Callithrix jacchus: one gene and its partners. The protein of the gene in region 1 binds, or shares a complex with, the protein of each later gene. Links are inferred from orthologs where the notes say so. Each region holds a gene or a part of one and is shown in the gene's direction. Other genes may lie near its edges. The genes, in order: CDK2AP2, MTA2 and CHD4.

The links.
Region 2: CDK2AP2 (region 1) and MTA2 share a complex: the UniProt entries of both Homo sapiens proteins name them as parts of the nucleosome remodeling and deacetylase (NuRD) repressor complex. The link is inferred for Callithrix jacchus from reciprocal best matches to the Homo sapiens genes CDK2AP2 and MTA2.
Region 3: CDK2AP2 (region 1) and CHD4 share a complex: the UniProt entries of both Homo sapiens proteins name them as parts of the nucleosome remodeling and deacetylase (NuRD) repressor complex. The link is inferred for Callithrix jacchus from reciprocal best matches to the Homo sapiens genes CDK2AP2 and CHD4.

The regions. Positions count from the first base shown.
Region 1 is NC_133511.1:124,584,837-124,588,258, reverse strand, and holds CDK2AP2 (cyclin-dependent kinase 2-associated protein 2), read left to right. Parts: upstream 1-1,230; 5' UTR 1,231-1,310; coding exon 1,311-1,392; exon of another isoform or gene 1,393-1,534; intron 1,535-1,703; coding exon 1,704-1,801; intron 1,802-1,895; coding exon 1,896-2,028; intron 2,029-2,391; coding exon 2,392-2,459; 3' UTR 2,460-2,916; downstream 2,917-3,422. UniProt on the Homo sapiens protein: Acts as a component of the histone deacetylase NuRD complex which participates in the remodeling of chromatin.
Region 2 is NC_133511.1:119,871,294-119,875,037, reverse strand, and holds the start of MTA2 (metastasis-associated protein MTA2), read left to right. Parts: upstream 1-1,192; 5' UTR 1,193-1,570; coding exon 1,571-1,598; intron 1,599-2,347; coding exon 2,348-2,415; intron 2,416-2,767; coding exon 2,768-2,861; intron 2,862-3,744. Other genes in the region: EML3 (echinoderm microtubule-associated protein-like 3), read left to right, coding at 119-249, 347-550. UniProt on the Homo sapiens protein: May function as a transcriptional coregulator. Acts as a component of the histone deacetylase NuRD complex which participates in the remodeling of chromatin.
Region 3 is NC_133510.1:20,787,562-20,791,205, reverse strand, and holds part of CHD4 (chromodomain-helicase-DNA-binding protein 4), read left to right. Parts: coding exon 1-77; intron 78-328; coding exon 329-464; intron 465-602; coding exon 603-781; intron 782-1,010; coding exon 1,011-1,250; intron 1,251-2,410; coding exon 2,411-2,614; intron 2,615-2,734; coding exon 2,735-2,940; intron 2,941-3,644. UniProt on the Homo sapiens protein: ATP-dependent chromatin-remodeling factor that binds and distorts nucleosomal DNA. Acts as a component of the histone deacetylase NuRD complex which participates in the remodeling of chromatin.

The DNA.
Region 1 (3,422 bases):
TGGATGGATGAATGAATGAACGACTGTCCTGGAGATGAAGATCTACAAAGCTGGGACCATGAAGGTACGTAAGGCCAGAGAAGTTTGAGCTTGGGGAAGGAGCCTGGGAGAAAGGGTTAGTGAGTGGATGAGGGTTTGAAGTCTTAAGTTTGTGGGGAGTGAGATTTGAGGGGAGGCGTCTGAGTGGTGGAATGGAAAGGTATGGGGGCCCTGGAGTGGGACAGGAAGGCGGGGAATGAAACAACAAGCACTTTATGACATTCACTTAATCCACACAACAACCCAATGAGATCGTCATTTTCCCCATTTTACGGATGGGAAAACTGAGGCATACTGAGGCGAGACACTTGCCTGGGGGAAATCGCCAGTGGGGGTGGTGCTGAGATTCAAACCCAGGCGGTTGGCTCCAGACCGTGCTCTTGATCAGTTTGGTACCGGCCCGCCACACAGTAATCTCGCAGGTTTGCCCTACGGCCATTGACACCAGCTGAGGCGGCGGCGCGGGGCCTTGGGGGTGCGGGCAAAGGGGTCTTTGAGGTCGCCCTTGGACCTGACGACCAGCCAAGCCACAGGAAGAGCTGCGCGTGGCGGCACTGAAGTAGGGCCTGTTGCCATGGGAACAAACGCAGGCCTCGGGCGGACGCATGCGCAGATCGGGGAGAGGGTGTTGAACCGGTGAAAGGTGACGTAAAAGCGCACGGGGTGGGGCGCGGGGCTCGGGACGTCAAAGCTCTGCGTCCTTCGGCCCCAGGAGCGGATAGGGACGCACAGCGGCGGCGACAGAAGCGACGGCAGCGGCGACAGCAACCCCTGCTGGGCCGAAACTGGGCAGAGCAGAGCCGACGTCTGAAGCAGCGCGAGTGAAGCGCGAGGGTAGCGCCCGCGTCCGGGAAGACCCCTCGGCGCGAACCGGCGGCCCAGCCCGGGGTCCGGGGCCTCGAGGCCCCGCCTCTAAGGCCTGGGGACTAATCGGATTGAGAGCGCGCCGGCCCGGGCGGCGAACTCGCCAATTGCAGAGGGCGGCAGCCACCGCCCAATCCGGAGCAGACAGGTGCGAGGTCCGGAAGGCGGAGACCAATCGGTGGCGGTTGCGACCTGCTGGGGCAGGTCTCGTCCAATAAGGAGGCTCGAGTGACATCTTCAGGCGCCAATCGGGAGTGAGGGAGCATTCGAGCCCGCTCGCCCTTCCGGCCAGACCTCTATTTACCAGAGGCGTGCAGCCCGCTTGCCAATCAGAGCGCGGCTGAGCGGCCCGGCGGCCAACCCCCGAGGAGCGGCTGGCTGGCGTCCGCCGCGCCCAGGAGTTGGGGATGTCCTACAAACCCATCGCCCCCGCCCCCAGCAGCACCCCTGGCTCCAGCACCCCTGGGCCGGGCACCCCGGTCCCTACAGGTGAGGATCCAGCTCCACCCCTGCTCGCCTGCCGGGCGGTCGAGGTCTCGAAGAGAAGACGGCCTGAGTTCTGCAATACTGGGCCTGCCGCCTACCCCTCGCTGAGCCTCAGTTTGCTGGCCTGTGAAATGGGCGTGGTCATGTAAGGGCTTGTAGGTGGAGCTCAGGGGGAGGGATTTGTCCCTGAAGTTAATCAGCATGGAATGAAGCATCCTTTGGAGGGAATCGGGCGAACGCGGTCCTGGGCTTGGAAAAGCAGGGAGGCGCGTCCCTGCCCAGCGCTGACCTCTTACTCGCGCCTGTTGCTGCAGGAAGCGTGCCGTCGCCGTCGGGCTCAGTGCCAGGAGCCGCCGCCCCTTTCAGACCGCTGTTTAACGACTTTGGACCGCCTTCCATGGGCTATGTGCAGGTGAGTGGGGCCAAAGCCTTGCTTATGGATGGGGACTGGAGTTTCCTTCCCTGCCAGGTGCCTGAGCTCACTGCCCTGTTCTCTTTTGACATAGGCGATGAAGCCACCCGGCGCCCAGGGCTCCCAGAGCACCTACACGGACCTGCTGTCCGTCATAGAGGAGATGGGCAAAGAGATCCGGCCCACCTATGCTGGCAGCAAGAGTGCCATGGAGCGCCTGAAGAGAGGTAAGTGAGGCCAGGCCGCCCTGCCCTGCCCTGCTCCCCTGCTCAGGAAGCCGACACTGCACTATCCTTCATTAGGGAAGTAAGGACATCTGGAGGCCACCCGAGCGACGCCTAGACTAGGGCCAGTATTACTATGCAGAGAGGTATTTTGAATTGAAATTGAGTCCGTTTCCAGGGAAGAGCCTGGGAATTTGTATTTCAACAGGGCCACCTTGAGGATTAGCCAAACCTCTAATCTCATCTCGCCATTATTAGATTTGAATTTCTCTTGCCGAAAGGAAAGGGAGTGGGGAGGCAGTGGTGGTCCTCTGGAGGGCGGAGGTGGGGCTATGGAGGGTTGCTGAGACCCCACCCTACCCCCAGGTATCATCCATGCCCGGGCCCTAGTCAGAGAGTGCCTGGCAGAGACAGAGCGGAACGCCCGCACGTAACAGGAAGCCTCTCGGCCTCAGCGTCTGGACCTTTCCCGGCCACTGCAGAGCACCCGCTTCTCCCTGGCCATCATCCCGAGTTGCACTAACCATCCTGGGCTTCCTGTCCTGTGTCCTTTGGTGGGTGCCCTCCAGGAACCAAAGGGTGGCTCTCACTCCAGGTGGCAGCACTAAGAACGACCCCCCCCACAACAAGAGTTTAGCAGCGAGGTCCCTGTGAGTCGCGCCCATGACCTGCCGACAGTGTTGCCCACCGGAACTTTCTGTGGCCCCCACTGCTCAGCCCCTCCCAGCACTTCTCCCACTTCGTCCCGAGCCTCCCTCTCTCCCAGCAGGGGCTCAGGCCTGGCACCTGCTTGCCTTGTGTCCTGGGCCATAGTGACTCTTTTCTCTGTGTGTCTTTTGCTAAATATGCCCTTTTTATATTAATAAAAGATGATTTGGAGTTGTGCTGTCAGCTCTGAGCCTTTCTGGGTCTGGTTCTTCAGTTAAGCCTGGGTGGGCCAGGCAGAGAAGGAAGAGGAGACTAGGGGTGGGGAGGGTGTGACTGAATGGGGTTTGACTTGCCTCTGTGGGCCACAGGCCTCCTGTGGGACCCAGGCCCTCTCCTGCCCCAGCCCTGGTGCTGAGAGCCCTGGGCCTTCCTGTGGTGCCACCAGGGGGCAGAGCAGGGCCTGGCTGCTTCCACAGCCCTTTGCGCTGTGGGCAGCCTGGGCCTGGAGGGCACTTCCTCTGGATTGGCAGTGATGCCTGGCAGCGTGGAAATGCCAGTTCACGTAAGCCACTCCCTTACACTCCCTAATGCCCTGACAACACCCCAGCCTCTGAATCAGCCCTGAAGGTCTCTGACACCGCAGAGAGAATGCACACTGCTGCTTCCAGCACTGGCCTCAGAGTCAAGCAGAGAGGCTGGCGGGTGCTGCCGTCACCGCCGCAGCACCTGTAGCAGGCTGGGCGTGATCC
Region 2 (3,744 bases), about 4.7 Mb from region 1:
GGCTTGCCTGGAACGCGGCAGTGGGTGGCCGTGGCTGCCGGAGCGCCTGAAATAGTGCAGCTCTGGGCCGTGGGTGGCAGTGGGGAGGAGGTCGGGCTGAGGCCGGCCGCTGTGCTAGGCGTGTGGCCGGACGGCTCCGATGGGACCGACATCAACTCCCTGTGCCGCTCCCACAATGAGCGCGTGGTGGCGGTGGCTGACGACTTCTGCAAAGTGCATCTTTTCCAGTACCCGTGTGCTCGTGCCAAGGTGAGGCCGCAGGGGCCTCCGGGGCGGGGTGGGGCGGGACAGGACGGGTGGGCCCGAGGGCTCCGCCGCCACCGCAACTCCCTTCCCTCCTGTCCAGGCGCCGAGCCGCATGTACGGTGGCCACGGCAGCCACGTGACCAGCGTCCGGTTCACGTACGACGACTCGCACCTCGTCTCGCTGGGCGGCAAGGATGCCAGCATCTTCCAGTGGCGAATGCTGGGAGCAGGGGGCGCGGGGCCAGCGCCCGCCACGCCCTCTCGAACCCCCTCCCTGTCCCCCGCCTCCTCCCTTGACGTTTGATCTCGGCCTGGCGGACCAACTGGCTGAAGGCGTGGACCCGCCCCGCCCCGCCCTAGTTCCTTTAGACCCGGGGCTGACTCCTCGACTGACTTCCAGACATTCCCGATCGCGCATTTCCCTGGAGGGCGCGAACGGCGCCCCTGCACACACTGTTTAGACCCGCTGGCTGAGCTGGGCAGCCCCAGCCTAGGCCTTGACTCCCGCTGCCTGCTGAGGGGCAATAAACGAGAACCAAAGTCGCCTCCCGGTGCTTTTGTGGGGCGCTGCTGGGGGCCTCCGGGGCCTTGTGGGGTGGGGACGAAGGAAAAGAGGCGTGCGGAAAGGGTAAGGGAGCGTAGACCATTTATGCAAATAACAGGCAAAGCCGCTTGCAAATAACCTGGTTAAGCGCGAAGGCGCGCGAGTCTTTCGGGGCGGCAGGAGAAGCTGCAGGGACCCAGCGAGTACACAGTTAAGTCCGACTTCTCTCCCGCCCTCGGAAAAATGGGGTGGGTCCGAGCTGCGACGGAAATAGCCGAGTGCCGGGCCGCTGTTGGCCGACAGGAGCCGAACCTCTTCCGGAAGTAGCCGATCTGCGGGGTCTCGCTCTACGACCTAAGCCGAACGGTGGGCCTTGTTCTCCGGATCGGCCGAAGGTGTTCCGGAAGGAGGCGAACCCCGAGGCGGGCCGGGCAAGCCTTCCCTGCGGCCGGCAGATCCCAACGACTAGTGGGACTCGGCGGGGGCGGGGGTAGCTGGAGCTTAGCTCTGGCCTGGCAGGAGCCGAGCTCGTTCCGGAAGAAGCCGAGCGGACCGGGGCCGGCCTCAGCGTCCCGGGAGTGGGGCGATATCTGCCGCGGCGACAGCGCGGGCCGGGATGAACCGCGACGGCTGAGGCAGTGGAGGTGCCGGCTGCGCGGGCCCCACTGAGACTCCCTTGAAGCTACAGCCCCACGCTCGGGGCTTTGCCTCGAGCCGAGCCCTGCCTCCGCGAGCCTTCCGGACCCCTTTGTGCGGCCGGAGGCGGCGGCGGGAACGGCCATGGCGGCCAACATGTACCGGGTGGGGGGTGAGTACCGGGCGCAGGGGTGCGGGGCCCGGGGCGGGAGATGTTGGGGTCGGGACCGGAGGGACTCCGCACCTGGTGGCGCGGGGCGCCGCGTCTGGGGCAGCGTGGACCCGAGCGCGGACCGGAACCGGAACCGGGAGACTGGGAGCGGGGAAGTGAGGGTGCGGGAACGGCGACCGCGACGCGGCAGGGTGCCGAGACTCCCGGAGAGAAGCTGCGGGCAGCCCCGACGGCACTCTCAGGGCTGCGTCGGGGGCTCCCCCGGGTACAGAGTGGGCTTTGGAAACTGGTTCAGAAGGAGCTGACCTGGTAGGGAGGCGACGCGAGGGGCTGGGGCGACGGCTTTGCCACCGCGGGGGAGCCGCCCGGAGATTTCCTCTTCCCAGGCGTTATTGTGCGCCTCGGTTCGAAAAGGTGGGGGCCCAGCGCCAGCGTGAACAATGACTTCGCCGCGACTGGGCTGCAACTCATAGCTGAGTTGTGGGGACGCAGGGGAACCCCTGCTTCTTGCCTGTTCCTTAAGGCTCACTTTTCTGTGAAGGATCCGATTTTAGAACTAGGCGTGGTGGGGATGGGGAACATCCTTATTTTCTCTTAGTCTTTCCACTTTCACATCTCAGCGCCCTCTCTACCTGGATCTTTATCTTCTTTTGGTCCACTCAGGCCAACTTTCTCTCCTACTCTCGTGCTCTGTGTCTCCCGTCTCGTCCTCTGATCTTCGTGGTTCTTCCCCCTCCCCTCCCTTACAGATTACGTCTATTTTGAGAACTCCTCTAGCAATCCTTACCTGGTTAGACGGATTGAGGAGCTCAACAAGGTGAGTGGAGCAGAATCCCTCTCCCTCCCTCCCCCAGTGGTCTCTTTCTTCTGAGGTTTCTAACTTCTGGTGGAAGAGAGGACTCTATACTAAGTATCTATTCATATTCATTCATTCATTCATTGGATGTATTCAGGAAAGGCTATTGAGAGCTTAGCAGGAACTTACTATTCTGTCTCTTGGGGGCAAAGGAAAGGGATTTGGAAGTCTGTCCTTGAATGTAAGTCTTTACTCCTATTTTCTTGGGATTTTTTATTTAGGTTCCTCTGAAACTTACTGTTATTTGTCTCTGTGCATTTCTGTACCCAGATGATCAATTTTTCACTGCTACATTTTTTTTTTCTCTCCTTAGACTGCAAATGGAAATGTGGAGGCAAAGGTTGTCTGTCTTTTCCGGCGCAGGGACATTTCTAGTAGTCTCAACAGCCTGGCTGATAGTAATGCCAGTGAGTACCTTCATCTCTTTCTTTTCCCCCTCCCCATGATCTGAGGCCTGGGCATGTCCCTGCAGGAGTTTCTCCTGGTAGCATGCCCAAGGCAGAGGTGTGAATTTAGGGGTGGGAAATACCTGGTCTGAGGAGGGAGGCCTGTTTTTACACGTTGGGGTTGGAAGCAGGGTGGAGAGATTGTGATAAGGAAAGCTATAATATGGTTTGTGTATGAGTGTAAGAGAGAGATGATAATGTTTATTTAGGGGATGAGGATGAACTTCAGAGAAGCAGAATGCTTTTCTAAAGGGGGACAGTTTGGTGTACATTAGAACAGTAGGTGGTGACTGAAGGTCAAGGTGAAGAGGAAGAGATTGTTCTGAGAGGCCCGCATAACAGGGAAGTAGGCTCATTTTGTAATCACAAGGTGGTGGGAATACCTGGAAGCTGGAAGATGGTAGGAAAGTTTTCTTGTACTTTTCATTTCTTACCTCACCCATTTCCCGGCCCCCACTCCATTTTACATCTTTCCCTTTTCATTTTGCCCTGTCTTCATTCTCTTTAAGTTCTCATCTTTTTTTTTAAAAAAAAAAAACAACACAAAGAAACATGTTTTCCTCAGCTTCTTTTTCCTTTCCTGCTTTGATTTTCTTTCTCCTTCCTTTTGTTCCACCTTTCTAAATTTTCCTTTTTCAGACTGTTCTGGGTGAGAAGGGGTTAAGAAGGATCCCGGCTTACCAAGTTCCTTGGCCCTTTAGGGTTTCCAGCCCCATCTGGCAGGGGCTGACCTTGGCCTTGTCCAATCAGAATGAGTGTTGGGGGTGTGGTCCCCCTTGCCTTAGCACAGGGTTTCCGGAGCACATAGGCCAGGGGTGGAGCCTACCGCACAACCCCCCTTCTC
Region 3 (3,644 bases), on another chromosome or scaffold:
AGAAGCCTAAACCCAAGAAAGTAGCTCCCCTGAAAATCAAGTTGGGAGGTTTTGGTTCCAAGCGTAAGAGATCCTCGGTGAGAGCCCAGCCCGTCACTTTAGGGAGGGTGCCATGTCAATAGAAAGGCTGTGACCTTATGTCAGGACCTGTCCTTCATAGGCATGTAAGAATGTGGTGAGTTGCCCAGAGAACAAGAGACTAGGCTCCCTATATAACGGTGCTTGCTGGGATTCGAGTATCCACAGTGAGACGGTACTCCCCTCCTTGCCACTTTCTCCTTCCCCTTGGCTTGAGAACGTCTAACCTTATTCTTTTTCATTCTGCCAGAGTGAGGATGATGACTTAGATGTGGAATCAGACTTCGATGATGCCAGTATCAATAGCTATTCTGTTTCTGATGGTTCCACCAGCCGTAGTAGCCGCAGCCGAAAGAAACTACGAACTACAAAGAAGAAAAAGAAAGGTGTGTTTCTTTTCTGTATATTTGTGATGGGATGAGGTGGGAATGATTGGGGAAGAATCTCCCTAAGGAGATAGGGGTTGGGGGGTGGGGGGAGGTAGTTTTTTTCTAATAACTGGGCTTTCCCTCTTCCTTGCCCAGGCGAGGAGGAGGTGACTGCTGTGGATGGTTATGAGACAGACCACCAGGACTATTGCGAGGTGTGCCAGCAAGGCGGTGAGATCATCCTGTGTGATACCTGTCCCCGAGCTTACCACATGGTCTGCCTGGATCCTGACATGGAGAAGGCTCCCGAGGGCAAGTGGAGCTGCCCACACTGCGTGAGTGTCTGGCTGTTGTGGCCCCTTGGAGCCCATGAGAGGAAGGGTGGGACAGTAAAGCTCTTTGGGGCCTGTATGGAAATAGAAATGCTGCTGCTTCGGGTTGTGAGCTTTGGGAAGCATTCGAATGGATGGGAATGATGGAGCCACTGGCTTCAGACTTTGGTTGGTGAGTGCATGGGTAGGTGGGTGGGTGGTAATAACGTGAATCTGTGGTCTTTTACTGCAGGAGAAGGAAGGCATCCAGTGGGAGGCTAAAGAAGACAATTCAGAGGGTGAGGAGATCCTAGAAGAGGTTGGGGGAGACCTTGAAGAGGAGGATGACCACCATATGGAATTCTGTCGGGTCTGCAAGGATGGTGGGGAGCTGCTTTGCTGTGACACCTGTCCTTCATCCTACCACATCCACTGCCTGAATCCCCCACTTCCAGAGATCCCCAACGGTGAATGGCTGTGTCCCCGTTGTACGGTGAGTGACTGATCTCAGCCAGGGCAGAAGACGTGGAAAGAGTAGTCTTTTCTATGCAGGGTATTGTGAGGCTGAGGTGCAGGAGAGGAACTATGAGCTTTTTAGTCCTGAGACAGGTATTTTCCTTCATCCTGTAGTGTTGGGATACTTTTGTCCTGGGAAAATGTAGGACTAACTTCAAACAGAGGAGTAGATGTTTTGCCAGCTCCCTTAGAGGAGATGAAGCCATGTTTTTCTAGCTGAGAATGTTTGTCCTTGTTTGACACTCTGCCTCAGGGTCTTGGTAGCTTACAGTGTTTTTGATGTTTTTGTTAAAAAAATTTTTTTTTGGAGACAGGGTCTCTGTCATCCAGGTTAGACTGCAGTGGTGTGATCATAACCCACTGCAGCCTCCAACTCTTGGGCTCAAATGATCCTCCTATCTCAGCCTCTCGCTGAGTAGCTAGGAGTACAGGTGCCTGCCACCACATCCAGGTAATTAAAAAAAAAAAAAAATTCTTGGCTGGGCGTGGTGGCTCACACCTGGAATCCAAGCACTTTGGAGGCCAAGGTGGGCGGATCACCTGAGGTTGGGAGTTCAAGACCAGCCTGACCAACATGGTAAAAAAAAAAATTCTCTGTAGAGACAGGGTCTCACTATTTTGACCAGGCTGGTCTTGAACTCTTGGTTTCAAACCACTGTGCCCCCTTGTCCTCCTTAAGTGCTGGCATTACTGGTGTATACCACCATGCCAGCCAGTTTAGAATGTTGAATAGGGCCACTTACTGCTTTTAGATTGCTTAAGGGAGGAATTCTGTGCTCTAAGTCTGTTGATTTCCTGTGCCCACTGGTTCTGGATTATTGTTAAAGTCTAACTACTGGCTCTGTTAAGCAGATAGGAGTGACGGTGGCACACAAATCCTGGATGATGTCCAGAAACGGAGAGGGAATTCTATCCCAGGTTGAGCACGCTAATCCAAAAATGTGAAATCCGAAACACTTCTGGTCCCAATCATTTCAGATGAGGGGTCCTCAACCTGCATTCTCTCTCTGGAGGAGTTCTGGGATTAGATTTTATTTGAAATGAGATCTTAATCGTCCTTTGATGAAGTTGAGACTGGGCTGTCCCTTTTCCCCGCATGGTTATGATTTGGGATTAGGTTGTCTCTTTTTCTCTCAGTGTCCAGCTCTTAAGGGCAAAGTGCAGAAGATCCTTATCTGGAAGTGGGGTCAGCCACCGTCTCCCACACCAGTACCTCGGCCTCCAGATGCTGATCCCAGTACACCCTCCCCAAAGCCCTTGGAGGGGCGGCCAGAGCGGCAGTTCTTTGTGAAATGGCAAGGCATGTCTTACTGGCACTGCTCCTGGGTGTCTGAACTGCAGGTAAGTCTAGCACAGGTTGGAGATGCAGGGGCTACGATGAAGAGGGTAGTGAAAACAGCCTTGTGAATAGAAGGAATGAACACAGCTTCTTGGTGGCTGATTTTCTCTTTCCACTCGAAGCTGGAGCTGCACTGTCAGGTGATGTTCCGAAACTATCAGCGGAAGAATGATATGGATGAGCCACCTTCTGGGGACTTTGGTGGTGATGAAGAAAAGAGCCGAAAGCGGAAGAACAAGGATCCTAAATTTGCAGAGATGGAAGAACGCTTCTATCGCTATGGGATAAAACCTGAGTGGATGATGATCCACCGAATTCTTAACCACAGGTACCAGCTGGGCACATGGGAGATGGGCAGTTTCCGTGGGAGACCCTGCTAAAGGGATTGGGAAAGTGGATGTAACCAATAGCTTAGACTTGGAAGACACTTTTTTTTTTTTGAGACAGTGTCTTGCTCTGTGCCCAGGCTGCAGTGCAGTGGCGTGATCTTTGCTCACTGCAATCTCCACCTCCCAGGTTCAAGTGATTCTCCTGCCTCAGCCTCCTAAGTAGCTGGGACTACAGGCATGAGCCACCATGCCCAGCTGATTTTTGTATTTTTAGTAGAGACAGGGTTTCACTATGTTGGCTAGGCTGGTCTGGATCTCTTGACCTCAGTTGATCAGCCCGTTTCAGGCTCCCAAAGTGCTGGGATTTTGGGAGCTCCAAAATGATCACCTCACGTGATCAGCCCGTTTCAGGCTCCCAAAGTGCTGGGATTTTGGGAGCTCCAAAATGATCACCTCAGGTGATCAGCCTGTTTCAGGCTCCCAAAGTGCTGGGATTTTGGGATCTCCAAAATGATCTCCTCACGTGATCAGCCTGTTTCAGGCTCCCAAAGTGCTATGATTACAGGCATGAGCCACCACTCCTAGTTGTTTGTTTTTCTGAGATGGAGTCTTGCTCTGTTGCCCAGGCTGGAGTGCAGTGGTGTGACCTTGGCTTACTGCAGCCTACGCCTCTTGGACTCAAGTGAATCTCCTGCCTCAGTCT